2 linked regions of the Sus scrofa genome follow. The protein of the gene in region 1 purifies or fractionates together with the protein of each later gene. This does not show direct contact. Links are inferred from orthologs where the notes say so. Each region holds a gene or a part of one and is shown in the gene's direction. Other genes may lie near its edges.

Evidence for each region. Proteins that work in one complex are often made in the same cells at the same time.
Region 2: the proteins of SYTL4 (region 1) and RAB3A purify together in Homo sapiens (affinity purification with mass spectrometry; 3 studies listed by BioGRID and IntAct, counting the BioPlex papers as one, with this or other methods). This does not show direct contact. The link is inferred for Sus scrofa from reciprocal best matches to the Homo sapiens genes SYTL4 and RAB3A.

What each region holds. Positions count from the first base shown.
Region 1 is NC_010461.5:82,376,437-82,383,705, reverse strand, and holds part of SYTL4 (synaptotagmin-like protein 4), read left to right. Parts: intron 1-19; coding exon 20-110; intron 111-220; coding exon 221-324; intron 325-1,351; coding exon 1,352-1,444; intron 1,445-3,020; coding exon 3,021-3,199; intron 3,200-3,496; coding exon 3,497-3,599; intron 3,600-4,118; coding exon 4,119-4,280; intron 4,281-7,269. UniProt on the Homo sapiens protein: Modulates exocytosis of dense-core granules and secretion of hormones in the pancreas and the pituitary. Interacts with vesicles containing negatively charged phospholipids in a Ca(2+)-independent manner.
Region 2 is NC_010444.4:59,600,930-59,608,703, forward strand, and holds the start of RAB3A (ras-related protein Rab-3A), read left to right. Parts: upstream 1-3,459; coding exon 3,460-3,687; intron 3,688-5,618; coding exon 5,619-5,737; intron 5,738-6,999; coding exon 7,000-7,124; intron 7,125-7,774. UniProt on the Homo sapiens protein: The small GTPases Rab are key regulators of intracellular membrane trafficking, from the formation of transport vesicles to their fusion with membranes.

The sequences.
Region 1 (7,269 bases):
TGCCCTTATCCCTTCCTAGGAAACGCAACCTGGGGGTCAAAATGTGGTGTCTATCGATGAGGGTGAAATGATATTCAAGAAGAACACCAGAAAAATCCTCAGGCCTTCAGGTAGCCGGTTGCCCTTCATGGCCTTGAGATTGAAGTTCTTGAGTACTTGTTGGGTTATTGGTGTGGAGAAGAGTAGGTTTCTTTGATTTGGTTTTTGGTTTTCCACTCAGAATACACTAAATCTGTGATCGATCTTCGCCCAGAAGATGTGGGGCATGAAAGTGGCTCCTTAGGAGACAGAAGCAAATCTGTCCCAGGCCTCAGTGTGGATATGGTAAGTACCCTGGTATTTCATTTGCTTGCTATATGAAATTTTATATACCAGAGTTCCTGTCCTGGCTCAGTGGAAACAAATCTGACTAGTAACTATGAGGTTGCAGGTTTGATCCTGGCCTTGCTCAGTGGGCTAAGGATCCAGCGTTGCCATGAGCTATGATGTAGGCCTCAGCTGCAGCTTGGATCCTGCATTGCTGTGGCTGTGGCACAAGCCAGCAACTGCAGCTCCAATTCGACCCCCTAGCCTGGGAACCTCCATATGTCGTGGGTACAGCCCTAGAAAGCAAAGAAAAAAAAAAAAGAAAGAAATTTTATATACCTAAAGTTGACTTTCCTACCTGATGCTCTAAATTCATGTGTTTAATTCTTTAGGAAAAGGTAACATGAATCTTGATTTCCCGAAATTTCTAAAGTAAATCTGGTTGTTGAATTACTTAAAGAAACAGACTGTCTCTTTCATTTTCTACACATTGCTTGATATACAATTAGGGGCTCAAATAAATACTTATTTTTAATAAAATGTAGAGATGGTTGGGTTGGGGAAGCCTCATGAGAAAGATATTATTTTGAAATTTGAGAAGGATGGTTGGAATATAGTTTAGAAGCATGAAATGGGGAAACATAAGAATAAGTATGTATATGGGCACATGACACCTTAGGGCTTAGCAGCAATTAAGGCCCCTACTCAAGGAAGGAGATTAGTCTTTGAACTTTTTCTTTTTCTTTTTTTGTCTTTTTAGGGCCACACCTGCAGCATATGGAGGTTCCCAGGCTAGGGTTCGAATCGGAGCTATAGCCGCTGGCCTACGCCACCACCAGAGCCACAGCAATGCGGGATTCCAGCCGCATCTGTGATCTACACCATAGCTCATGGCAATGCCAGGTCCTTGACCCACTAAGTGAGGCCAGGGATCAAATCTGCATCCTCCTGGATACTCATCAGATTCATTTCCACTGAATCACAATGGGAATTCCTGAACTTTTTCTTATTTTTATTAACTCTGAATCTATATTCATTGTTTCAGGAAGAGGAAGAGGAAGAAGAAGACATTGACCACCTGGTAAAGTTGCATCGTCAGAAGCTAGCCAGAAGCAGCATGCGAAGTGGCTCCTCCATGGTAAGTTGTAGTAGTTCTGTGGCTATAGACATGTTGGGGTACTGGGAAGGAAGGAAGGACCTCCCTAGTGCAGAGTCAGGATCTGGGGAAATTCTAGTCACTCTTTCCAAGTAAATACAATGCATTTGTTTGTTCTTTTCCTCAATTTGGACAGTAGTTGCTTAGTATGCAGTGAGGTGACTTTCTCAGATTCTGCCCTGGAGATTCTTATATCAGGTAGTTAGGGCTAGGGAGGTTCATCATAGCTTTGTCAACAGTAACCCATAACTTCTCCCCTAAAAAGGTCCCAGGCCAGGAAGTGAGCAAGTTCATATTTCTTCATCAGGGCATGCTCCAAATATTGTATTTAAGGGCAGTAACTGCCATGAGAAGGGCCTTGGCAAGGGTTAATTGGCATAAGGATATGATTAAGAAATAGCAGTACCAATCAGAATCATGAAGTTAAAGGCACATTTTAAGAATCAGAGCCTAGGAGGAGTTCCCATTGTGGCTCAGCAGGTTAAGGACCTGATGTTATCTCTGTGAGGATGTGGGTTTGATCCCTGGCCTCACTCTGTGGGTTAAGGATCCGGAGTTGCAGAGGTGGCTAGGATCCAGTGTTGCTATGGCTATGGCGTAGATCTCAGCTACAGTTCTATTTTTATTTTATTTTATTTTTTTTTGTCTTTTTGCTATTTCTTTGGGCCGCTCCCACGGCATATGGAGGTTCCCAGGCTAGGGGTCGAATTGGAGCTGTAGCCACTGGCCTACGCCAGAGCCACAGCAACGTGGGATCTGAGCCGTGTCTGCAACCTACACCACAGGTCATGGGAACGCCGGATCCTTAACCCACTGAGCAAGGGCAGGGACCGAACCTGCAACCTCATGGTTCCTAGTTGGATTCATTAACCACTGCGCCACGACGGGAACTCCTCAGCTACAGTTCTGATTTGACCCCTGGCCCAGGAACTGCCATAGGCTGCAGGTGTGGCCATAATAAGAAAACAATTTTTTAAAAAATAATCAGGGACTAGTTTCTGTCTAAAGTATGAAGATTAATGTTTAGGGGAAACAGGATGTTCCTGGAAGAGAATGGTGGGCTTGCAGAGTGGATTATTACTGAGATCCCCCCGCCAGTTCTGATACAGGCACTTTCCTTTATACGTCTTGAGAGGAATAAGGTGGATAAAAGAAACCCACAGATAATGAAGTCCCCTTGTTTTAATTAGTAACTGACTCCTTCTAGCTAACATTGTAGCATATATAACATATACCAAAATTGGACTCAGCTGCACCTTACCTTTCTTCCTTGCACACCTTCTGGGGCAGTTGAAAATTAACAATAAAATGTGTAGGAAGAGGGCAAGAAGAGCAGCTTGGAGTCTAGGGGAGCCGTGAGCTGATAGATGACCCTAAGCAGTTGGGAGTGTGCACTGTCTTTTATATTCTGGGTACGAGATGGTTGGTGGTACTGGCTTATTTATTGAAGGGGCTTTTGTTTTGTTCTGTGACTGGGGGCTTTTTCCTGAGAGAAAATATGAGCAGTGTGGCGGGGGAGCATACCTTCGCCAGATGTTTGTGGGTGCTTTCTCCTCAGAGTACCATTGGCAGCATGATGAGCATCTACAGCGAAGCTGGTGATTTCGGGAACATCTTTGTGACGGGCAAGGTTACCTTTTCACTGAAGTATGAGCAGCAAACACAGACTCTGGTTATTCATGTGAAAGAGTGCCAGCAGCTGGCCTATGCCGACGAAGCCAAGAAGCATTCGAACCCGTGAGTGCTTCTGGACCCGATGTGGTGCTCGGAGATGATGGCTCAGACCCCGGCATCTCTCTGGGCACCCTGGAACCGAGGCCGTCACTTCCTGGGAGGACAGGGAGGTGGGATTGAGGATGGTTAAAGGAGATGTGGGAAGGGGACCAGAATTGTGAAGATGCAATAATGACATGTCTGAGAGGGCCTGATGTGACATTTTCATTTTGTCATGGTGTATGTATATGGAGAGCAGGGAAGTGAAGAGTGAGCTTCTGAAAAGACAGGAAATTACTTGATGTTTTCCTTGGTTTTTAGCTATGTGAAGACTTACCTTCTGCCTGACAAATCCCGCCAAGGCAAAAGAAAAACCAGCATCAAGCGGGACACCGTTAACCCGCTCTATGATGAGATCCTCACAGTAAGTATCTAGAGCCCAAGAGTAGAACTTGTTCTGTCTTGTGTGCTGAGCTGTAGCTATGTCTCTGTTACCTAGCTGGTCCACGTAGTTTTCCATGGCTGTGTCTGTGTATGAGGATATCCTATAGGCATCTCTTCATGTTCCAGCCTCCTAGAGAAGAGACAAAAGTGGACCTAGCTTTCTTGGATTGCTGTGCTGTTGAGCTCCACGTGGCCACAAATTCATTCTGAAAACCTGAAAAGCCAGTTGGGGTCAGGAGTCTCCCAGGCAGTTCTTTTTGAATATTCTGGTGTTCTCTTGCCCACTCAAGGAAAAAATGAATATTCTAGACCCTTCCACAGAATGTGGTAGGTTTTTTGTGAAATAGGGTAAGTGGAAGCTCTGAGTGAGGAACCTCAAAGTGCTTAAGGACTAAAGTAATTTGATATTCACTTTGGGTCTGGTTGCTCAGATTTTGGAGTAGTCTTTTCATGAGGAATTACCATGAACTAATCATGTTGGGCTTCTTTCCTTTCACAGTATGAGATCCCAGAATCTGTCCTGTCCCAAAGGACTTTGAAGTTCTCGGTTTGGCATCATGGTCGTTTTGGCAGAAACACTTTCCTTGGAGAGGCAGAGGTCCAGATGGATTCCTGGATGCTTGATAAGAAACTGGATCATTGCCTCCCTTTACATGGCAAGGTAGTCTACTTTAACAACTCCTTGCAGAGTTTGAATCTGAGGTAGAATTGTCTGCACTGATTTCTACTGGGACATGTTGGTAGTCTTGAAATGTAGCCTTGTGTGGAGTTCTAGCACACTCTGCTGGGGGTTCTGAGTTTAACAGTCATTTCAGATGCACTGGAATGGCAAGTGTGAGTAATCTCCGCGTAGGCCAGGCAAAGGACAAAGTCATGGTTTTCCTTTGAAGTCTTTCATATGCATGCCAGGCTTTGCCTCCTAATCTTCCAGAGTTTGAGCATGCCATAACATCCTAACTTATGCCTCTTCTGCAAGCTAACCTTTTGGTTATCCTAATCTGCACTCCTTTTCCAAGCTATCCTTTTCACTAAAGAGGTGGGAAGTAAAGCAATTCATGGAATTCCAATGGCCATAATCTTGGTCACATAAGCCAGGAACAATTTTACTTTGGAATTGGCATCTCAGGTGAGAGTGTAGCAATGTGCATAATAGTGCCTGGGAACTGAGTGCAGACCTGGATTTGAATCCTGATTCTGGGATTTGCCAGCTAGGTAAGTCACCTAACTTTTGGGAACCTTATTTCTTCATCTGTAAAATAATAGATGAAGAATAGAGATAATAATATTCCTCTTCCGCAGGATCATATACAAAGTACTAATCAGTGCCTGGCACATAAAGGACATTTAGTAGGTTACTGTCATTCTGGTTAAGATGAAATTGCTAAAACAGAGTTTGGAGTTTCTGTTGTGGCTCAGTGGGTTCAGAGCCCGACTAGTATCCATGAGGATGCAGGTTCAATCACCTGGCCTCTCTCAGTGGGTTAAGGACCCAGCATTGCCACAAGCTGTTGTGTACATCACAGACACCCTTGGATCCTGCGTTGCTGTGGCTGTGGCATAGGCTGGCAGCTGCAGCTCTGATTGGATCCCTAGCCCAGGAACTTCCATATGCCATGGGTACAGCCCTAAAAGGACAAAAAGTAAAAAAATAAGGCAGAGTTTTGACACCTTAATTATCAAAACTGTTCCCTGGCAGGGTTTTTCTATAAAACTTTTTTACACTAGCATTTTCAATACTAAAAACAATACATGGTCATAGAATACCTTTGGAAAATAGACAAGGAACTAGGAGTAGTGGCTGCCTCTAGAAAGAGAAACTGAGGTGGGAGGGTCATTTAGTTATGTGTATGCCCTTTTATAACATTTTATAATGTTTGAACTTTTTACCATGTCTACATATATTGCTTATTAAGAACATTAAGAAGACACACATGGCTCAAAATTAAAATAACAGGAGTTCTCTGGTGGCTCAGTGGGTTAAGGACCAGCATTGTTACTGCATGGCTCAAGTTGCTGTGGCCAGGTTTGATCCCTGGCCCAAAAACTTCCACATGTTGCAGGCATGGCCAAAAAAAATTTTTTTTTGAAATAATGTAGAAGTATATAAAAAGAAAAGCAGATTCAATTCCCTAGAAATAACCATGACTTGGATATCTTCATAGAAGTTTTGTATTAAACAGCACAGATAGACCCACATGAATTTATATTTTTTCTTTTTTACACAAATGGACTCATGTAAACCTCATTGTGTATATAGATCTTGATTTTTTTTCTGTCTTCTTTAGGGCCTCACCTGTGGCATATGGAGGTTCCCAGGCTAGGGGTCGAAAAGGAGCTGTAGCCACTGGCCTATGCCACAGCCACAGCAGTGCCAGATTGGAGCTGCGTCTGCAACCTACACCACAGCTCACAGCAATGTCAGATCCTTAACCCACTGAGCGAGGCCAGGGACCGAACCTGCAACCTCATGGTTCCTAGTTGGATTCATTAACCACTGAGCCACTATAGGAACTCCTTGATTTTTTTATTTAACAATTTGTTATTTACCATGGACATTTTTTCTAGGCCATCATTTAATAGATTTATCTCATTTTAATTGCTGGAGAGTATTCTTCATGTGCCTGTATTAGAATTGATTTACAGTCCCCCCACGGATGGCATGAAAATTGTTTACCTCTTTTTTTTTTCTTTCTGCTATCAAAGCTCTGCGGTAATAATATATCTTGGCTTTCATTTGTGAATGTAACTGTAGGAGAAATTTTTGGTGGTGAAATTGCTGAGTCAAAGGACATGTACATCTAGTGTTTTGATAGCTACTGCCCTCCAAAAATACTGACATTAAAGATGTCCCTTTAAGTACTAATAAAAACGGGAAAGCAGTTATTACCAAACTATAGTACATTATTGGAAATTTAGAGTTTCTTAAGCATTTGGCATGTAAGTTATTCTCTCAGGGGCCTATAGTTGATAAAATTGTATTGAAAATATCACTGTAAAACATCATGTAAACTGCCAGTAAAAAATGCCTTACATCACAAGAAAAAGATGCACTAGAATGGAGCTGTGTGTTCATTGCAATTATTTTGAGCCAGGATGAAAATCTGCTACTGAAACAAATACTCCAATTTCCAGCTAAGGCTAAACTCCAACAATTTTTAAGAGTCCACTGAAGTTCACATCTGGAGCCTAATAAATTGTGTAGACATTTTATAAACAACAAAAAGACCACTCCAGTATTACATGTCTACTTTAACTAAAAGCATTCTACATTTGTTGACTCAGAGTTTTCTTTTTTTTCTGCCATAGTGATCTGTTTGCTCCCATTCAGTTTTCTTTTCTTGGCCTCCATCTCCACAATTTTTTCATATCTCTCCCATATACTACACTTCTATGTATTCTGGGTATGTGGTGCCTTTTTCCAAACCAGTGGGGATTATGTCTTCCTGACATACTATGTTCAGAACTGAGGCCCTAGGTTAGAGGAGCCCCAGTGAACACAGGCCAGTGAAAGAGTACCTGTGATCAGCAAGAGCACCAACTTATGCTCTGGGTACCAAAGCATAAGGAGCAAGTCACACAGGGCCGATACAGTGAAGAGTGCTGCTGCCCAAGGCCACTTGCTACTCATCCCAGACACCCACTCATTCATG
Region 2 (7,774 bases), on another chromosome or scaffold:
TCCGAGCCGCGTCTGCAACCTACACCACAGCTCACGGCAACGCCGGATCGTTCACCCACTGAGCAAGGGCAGGGACCGAACCCTCAACCTCATGGTTCCTAGTCGGATTCGTTAACCACTGCGCCACGACGGGAACTCCCCATTTTTTTTTTTTTTTTTTTTTTTTTGCCTTTTTGTCTTTTTAGGGCCACATCTGTGGCACATGGAGGTTCCTGGGCTAGGGGTCCAGTCAGAGCTGTAGCCAATACTCCAGAGCCACAGCAACTCGGGATCAGAGCCATGTCTGCCACCTACACCACAGCTCATGGCAACGCGAGATCCTTAACTCACTGAGTGAGGCCAGTGATCGAACCGGAGTCCTTACGGATGCTAGTCGGGTTCCTTAACCGCTGAGCCACGAAGGAAACTCCAGAGCTTCATTCTTAACAATGGAGGCCTTCCACTATTTTTATTTTATTTTTATTTTAAAATACAAATTCCTTTGTGCAGAAGGTGGTACATATTGCTGTGAGTGTTTACCCTTGGGGCGGGGGATAAGTAGGTATTTCCTTGTTCTCTCCATGTACAAAGCCCAAAATATGCACTTGGGAAATTAGGGAGCCTAGCGGCCACGTGCGCCCTCATCTCCACCGCGGCCGCGCCCAGAGGCGCCCCTCCCCCCCGGCCCCCACCTCTCCTAGCCCAAAGTGGGAACTCTACTGCTGTCCTCTGGGAGGCGGATATTGCAGGTGGATTTTATATTTATTTACGATGTTTTTTGAAATTTCCTAATTCTCCGTAGTAGGTTTGTGATACTTTCATGGTCAGAGTGAGGGAGAGGGACACAAATGCTACTTTTAGGGAAAAGAAACCCCAACAGATTTCCCAATTACAAGGAGGGCGGGAGGGAGCACTTCCAGGGGGCTGGGGGCGGCTTCTAGGCGCGAGGTTATTCTGGTATCTAGGAGCCTCTGCAGCTGGAGAGCTTTTTATAAACAGAGCAGGCCCCGCCCCTCGTCTCCTGAGGAGGAATCAGGGAGATCAGAATTTTCCTGGGGCCACGCGCTCCCTGCCGGGTGTGGGGACCGGAGTTGGCGAGGCAGCGATCGGCAGTGGGGGCCAAGGTCTCCTTCTTCCACCGCCCCCCTCCTCATTCTGACTTTTTCACAAGATTTGGCGGAAAAACGGTGGAACATCTTTGACCCCAAACTCCATCTCTGAGTCTCCTTTTGCCAGGAAGGAGGAGGGAGGATTCTTGAGTCTCCGTCTCTTAACTCAGGAACCAGGGAGGGGTAAAGCATCTCCGACCCTGCATCGTTATTGTTGGTTTTTAAACCTTGTTCGTATCCTCCCTGTTTCCCATGCCTTTTACTGCAGGCTTTGCGAGTTTGGGGGACAGGCCGTCTCTCCGCCCTGCTTCCGCCATTTCTTCGAATTTTTCTCTGGAAAATGGGGCACAGGAACGAGAGGGGTTCCCGGAGCGTCCATCAGCTCTTTCCTTCCTTCTGGGAATTGGGGAAGGGTGGCTCTCTTGGTCCCAATTGCTTCTTTCTCCATCTCATTAACAGGGTGGAGCATCCACCAGCCCGGCTCCCTTTGGGGATCTAACATCTCAGAAATTAGACAGGGTCTATCTTTACCCCTATTTCTGTTTTTTCTTCTTTTGCACTTATTTTGAAATAGGAGACATGGAGCATCTTCTCGGTTCCTTTTTTCTGAAACTGGGGTGTTTAACGAGAGGTCACGGCACTCAGGACTGGGCGGGGACCCCCTGATCCCGGACCTGGGGTGCGCGGGGGTGGGGAAGGGGAACGCCCCCAGAAGACCAAGGCTCCGCCAAAGCCTCAACCTCTCCGCCCTTCAACCACTCGGGAACCAACGCTGGACGAGAGGAGGGCCGTGACAATCTTTTATTGGCTATTTAGCAAATCGCTTGAACACTTAAGCCAATCATAAGGCGCCGTGAAACCCCGCCTCCCTAACACTGGAGAGAGGTGGCCCCAGCAGGCGATTCCTCCCCTCCGGCACTGCTTTCGCTAGCTACTGGATGCGCTCGCTGGGCCCCGCCCCATTCTCGCGTCAATCTGCGTGGGGAGCCTCGCCCCTCCCCGCTCTGCGTGTGACAGTGGACCCTATCTCAATGCGTGGCTCCGCCCCAGGATGGCGTCACGGCCGTATCTGCATGTGAGGCCCCGCCCTGCTCTTTGCAGGACGTCACCAAGGACTGCAGGGGCCTGAGCCGCTGCCGCCGCCTCCGCTGCCGCGCAGCCCCACATCAACGCACTGGGGGCCCCGTCGCCACCGCTAGGGTCACCACCACATCACTGCAGGGCAAGGTGAGCTCCCGAGTGTCCCTGTGCACTCCCGCTCGGAGTACCTACATAACCTTCATTTGACTGATGGGCTGGCTGGGGTGAGAGACGAGGTTGGCAGGTGTTAAATGAGGGGAAGGATGCGGCGGTCGCGAGCCTGGGGAGGGGTAGGTTCCCCTTACCTGCTGGATCCTCCTCCCCACCCCCACCTCTCCACCCCGGTTCTGCGGCGGAGGGGGAGGGGAGACGAGACGGGTGCCTTGCGGGAAGCTGTGCGCGCGGGAGGCTCCATGCGTGCGCGTGCGCGTGGTGTGCACACGCGTGTGCGCGCCCGCCTGTACCGGCCGATTTGTGTGTACCCTTGCTTGGGTCCCAGGGTATGCTCTTGTGACCCCCCCGGGTTTCCCTACTCAAGTTTGTGCATGTTGCACGCGTGTGGAGGGGGACGCGTGGACTATGCGTGTGCGTGCACAGCAAAGTGCATACATGTACAGAGATGCGTGCCCATGTGGGTGACGTGTACTCGGCTGCATAGGTGGAGGACACAGTGCGCACGGGTGGATTTGCTCATTGGTATATGCATGTCGGTGTGCAGACAGGTGTCTGCCTCTGTCCTGTGCGCCGAGTGTGTTCGATGCTCAGATATGCACGAATGTGCCCTGGTGTGTGCCCTGCTGTGTGCACGTGAGCGTGAGCACGCCCTGCTCCTATCACGTGGGGTAGCTGCTTCAGCCCGAGCTCTCCCAGCCTGGGAATCTGGGAGGACTGCAGATACGCGTCCCCGCGGGTACCGTACACGCGTGTGCACGTGCGCTAGCGCCGCTCAGTTCTGAGGAACGTGAATGATTGATAGGGGGCGGGGCCGGCCGCAGTCACTCCCCTAGGCACAGCTGTAGGGCTTAGGTTGCTGTCGGACCAGGGGCTCCGGCCTGCAGCGATGTCTCCATCCCTTTCGGTCTGAAAGTCCTCCCCTGAAACCTTGGGCCTTTCAAGGTCAAGGCCCGCCCTCTGCTGTGGGCCCCACCATTAGTACTGGGGCTCCTGACGGGATAAAGGTAATCTCTGTCTCACTCTGGGAGCTCTGGAGTTCTTCCATCCTGAGTCTGGGCTTGGGCGTTTGGAGTTGGAGGGCGACCCTCTCACGCTCGCCTATGCCCCGTACCCCCAGATGGCATCTGCCACAGACTCGCGCTATGGGCAGAAGGAGTCCTCGGACCAGAACTTTGACTACATGTTTAAGATCCTCATCATTGGAAACAGCAGTGTGGGCAAGACATCCTTCCTCTTCCGCTATGCAGACGACTCCTTCACGCCTGCCTTTGTCAGCACTGTAGGAATCGACTTCAAGGTCAAGACCATCTACCGGAATGATAAGAGGATCAAGCTGCAGATCTGGGTGGGTCCAGCTGGGGGAATTCTGTCTCCATCACTCCCTCTCTGTCCCAAAGAGCAGCCCAGCTTTCCCTATTGCTTTCCTGTCTAGATTCATTCATTACACACTGAGCATTTTTTCAGGCCCTTACTGTGTACCACAGGATAGAGGCACAGAAGAGGGTATCTCGGTTCTTTCAGTGTGTCATCGGTGCTCTCCAAGGGTGGGGAAGTAGCAAATGCCAGGTAGGTCCTCTCCTACCTCTGACATCATTGGACACATCATTTGCTTGGTGCCTCAGCTTCTCTCCCCATCTTCAGCTTCCTCCATGTGGCTCTGTATGAGGTTTCAGAGAAATCTTGACCCCCCCCCCCACCTCATTCTCCGAGACAGGAACAGGCTCCTCTAGCCACCTCCCTCAGTGCCTCTGAGACATGAGGGAGCCTGCTAAATCCAAAGTCAGAACCATCCCTTCTCTGTTCACAGTTCTGCCAAGGCTCCCACCTCATCTGGGTTAAACCTGTGCCTTCTCCCCCTGGCTAAGATCCTGTGTGGTCTATCCTTGTTGATACCCAATCTCATTTGTATCCCTCCATCTCTACCTCAGCCTCTTCACTGTCTCACTGTTCCTCAAATATACCAGACATAGTCCACATCTGGGCCTTTCCCTGGGCTGTGCCTTCTGCCTGGATTACCTTTCTTCTTATCTCTGCAGGGCTCCCTCCCTCATCCTTCAAGTTTTTTGTTTTTTGTTTTTTTTTTTTTGTCTTTTTAGGGCCACACCCTCAGCATATGGAGGGTCCCAGGCTAGGGGTCTAATCAGAGCTGCAGCTGCCTGCCTACACCACAGCCACAGCAATGCCAGATCCAAGCCATATCTGCAACCTACACCACAGCTCATGGCAACACATCCCCAACTCACTGAGCTTGGCCAGGGATCAAACCCACATCCTCTTGGATACTAGGTGGATTTGTTTTCGCTGCACCATGACAGGAACTCCTGATTTTGGTCTATTTTGGTTTTTTGTTTTGTTTTTGTCTCTCTCTCTCTTTTTCCTCTTTTGTTCTACCCAGTTATGTGGTGGGTTTCTTGCCCTTTTTGGAGGTTTAAGATCTTCTGTCAGCATTCAGTAGATGTCTTGTACGAATCTTTCTACATGTAGATGGGTTTTTGTTTTTGTTTTGTTTTTTTTGATGTGTTCATTGGAGAAGATGAGTACCTTGTCTTACTCCTCTGCCATCTCAATCCCGATGCTATTGGTTTTTGTTTTTTGCCCACACCCAGGGGCATGTGGAAGTTCCCAGGCCAGGGGTTGAACCCATGCCACAGTGGCAGCCCAAACCACTGCAGTGACAACGCTAGATCCTTAACCATTTGTGCCACAAGAGAACTCTCTGGTGCTTTTTTTTTTGGTCTTTTTGTCTTTTTGCCATTTCTAGGGCCGCTCCTGCGGCATATGGAGGTTCCCAGGCTAGGGGTCCAATCGGAGCTGTAGCTGCCGGCCTACACCAGAGCCACAGCAACGCGGGATCCGAGCCGCGTCTGCAACCTACACCACAGCTCACGGCAATGCCAGATCCTTAACCCACTAAGCAAGGCCAGGGATCGAACCTGCAACCTCATGGTTCCTAGTTGGATTCGTTAACCACTGAGCCACGACAGGAACTCTACTCCCTGGTCCATTTTGTTAACACCTAGGTCCCTAGTGCCTGGCACAGGTCAGTGCCCAGCACATATGTGCTGAATGAATGAAGGAACGATTCTGTAGCTACCTTGGGATGACTGGGTACCACATTCCCGGTGCAGGCAGCCTACTCACTCTCCCTGACCCACTGTGCTCCTAGGCAAGCCCCTACTCCTCTGGGCCTCAAGGGGGTGGATGATTTCAGAGTTCATTTCCACTCTTAGGAGCTTCTGTGTGTGTCCTCTCTGCCACTCATCTCTTCTTCCCCAGGACACAGCGGGGCAAGAGCGGTACCGGACCATCACGACAGCCTATTACCGGGGCGCCATGGGCTTCATCCTCATGTATGACATCACCAATGAAGAGTCCTTCAATGCAGTGCAGGACTGGTGAGCATGCCCCACCCACTCTCAGGTGGTTTTCAAGCCAGGCTTGATGCAAAGCCTGGGGTGCAGCCTGAGACTAGGGAGCCCCAGCCCCCTATCAGAAATATAAATAACAATATTGGGGGTCCCAGCCCTGCTATCAATCTATAATCATTAAAACCATATGACACCAGCTTGAAATAATGGGAAAAGAAGATTTCAGGAGTTCCCTGGTGGCCTAGCTATTGAAGGATCTAGTGTTGTCACCCCAATGGCTCAGGTTAGATCCCTGGTTTGGAAACTTACATATGCTGTGGGCATAGCCAAAAAAAAAAAGTTTTCAGGAGTTCCTGTTGTGGCACAGCAGAAACGAATCCGACTAGGAACCATGAGGTTCGATCTCTGGCCTCGCTCAGTGGGTTAAGGATCTAGCGTTGCCCTGAACTGTGGTGTAGGTCACAGACTTGACTTGGATCTCACATTGCTCTGTGACTGTGGCATAGGCCAGTAGCTGTAGCTCCGATTAGACCCCTCGCCTGGGAACCTCCATATGCTGCAAGTGTGGCCCATAAAAAAAAAAAGATTTCAGATGGAAAAATGAAATAGTGAACATCAAGGAAAAAAAAAGCCTGAGAGGGACAGAAAACATAAAGGCAGTTTGTATAGATTAGAGGATATAAACATTTAAAATTTTTGCCCAGAGTAAGGATAACGTTTAAAATGTAATGTTTGAATTTGCTCAAGAGGGAGAAATTCTTCTGGGGCTGATATGGGGTGATCTGGGAAGGGTAAGCTGCTTGAAAAAGAGGGATCTCCCAGAGTTCCCGTTGTGGCTCAGCATTAACAGACTCGACTAGTATCCCTGAGGTCACAGGTTTGATTCCTGGCCTCACTCAGTGGGTTAAAGATCTGGCAATGCTGTGAGCTGTGGTGTAGGTTGCAGATTTGGCTCGGACCCCTCATTGCTGTGGCTGTGGTGTAGGCTAGCAGCTACAGCTCCAATTTGACCCCTAGCCTGGGAACTGCCATGTGCCATGGTGCAGCCCTAAAAAAGACAAAAAAAAAAAAAAAAAAAAAAAAAGAAAGAAAGAAAGAGGGACTCCCAAGATCATTGAACTGCAGGAGCAGGAGCAGATACATGGCAGGACAGAGGGACCAAGCCTGCTTCTCTCAAGGAATAAATGAGTTGTGGGGCTCTGGAGTTGGGTGAATAAGGCAGGGGAAGATGGAGACGGGTAGAGCTTAGATTCTCCAAGTCCTAACCTGCCTGTCACCACCTCCTCCAGGTCAACCCAGATCAAGACATACTCATGGGACAATGCCCAGGTGCTGCTGGTGGGGAACAAGTGTGACATGGAGGATGAGCGGGTGGTGTCATCAGAACGTGGCCGGCAGCTGGCTGACCACCTGGGTGAGTGCCTAGAGGGGCTGGACACCTACAGGCCAGGAAAGGGACACTGAGGGCCTGGAAAGGGGAGGAGACACACCCAAGGTCTCACAGCAAAACCAGGATGGGGCCTGTATTCAAATCTGAGTTTTTCGTACTTTTTGCAAACCGACCTTGATTCTAGGGGCCATGTGAGGTGGATCTTGATGGCTGCTTAGGAGTCTACTCTGCAGGAAGTTACTGATACCCTCACTGCCCAGCCTTGTACTGGGTGCTCCTGAGCCCTTGAGAAGTCTCCAGCTTTGTGAGACTGAGGGAGGGACCTGGGCTGGGCAAGACCATGGGGGAAGCCAGGCTCACACTGGCATAGGTAAGGCTTCCTGGAAGTGGGGCCATTGGAGCTGGTACTTGAAGACAAAGGGTGGGCTTTCAGACAGAAGAAACAGTGTGGGCAAAGGCAGATGTGGGAACTACCCTTTTGGAGAATAGTTTTATGTGACTGGAACACGAGGGTCACTTGGAGGAAATATGGCTGATCATGCAGGACCTGAACCATGAGTTGAGGAGCCAGACTCTTCAGAGGACAATAGGGAGCCATGGTGGGTGCGGGAGCATGGAAAGGCCTTGATCTGAATGTCAAAAGCCACTAGGGCCAGGGTTGAGCTGGATAGTAG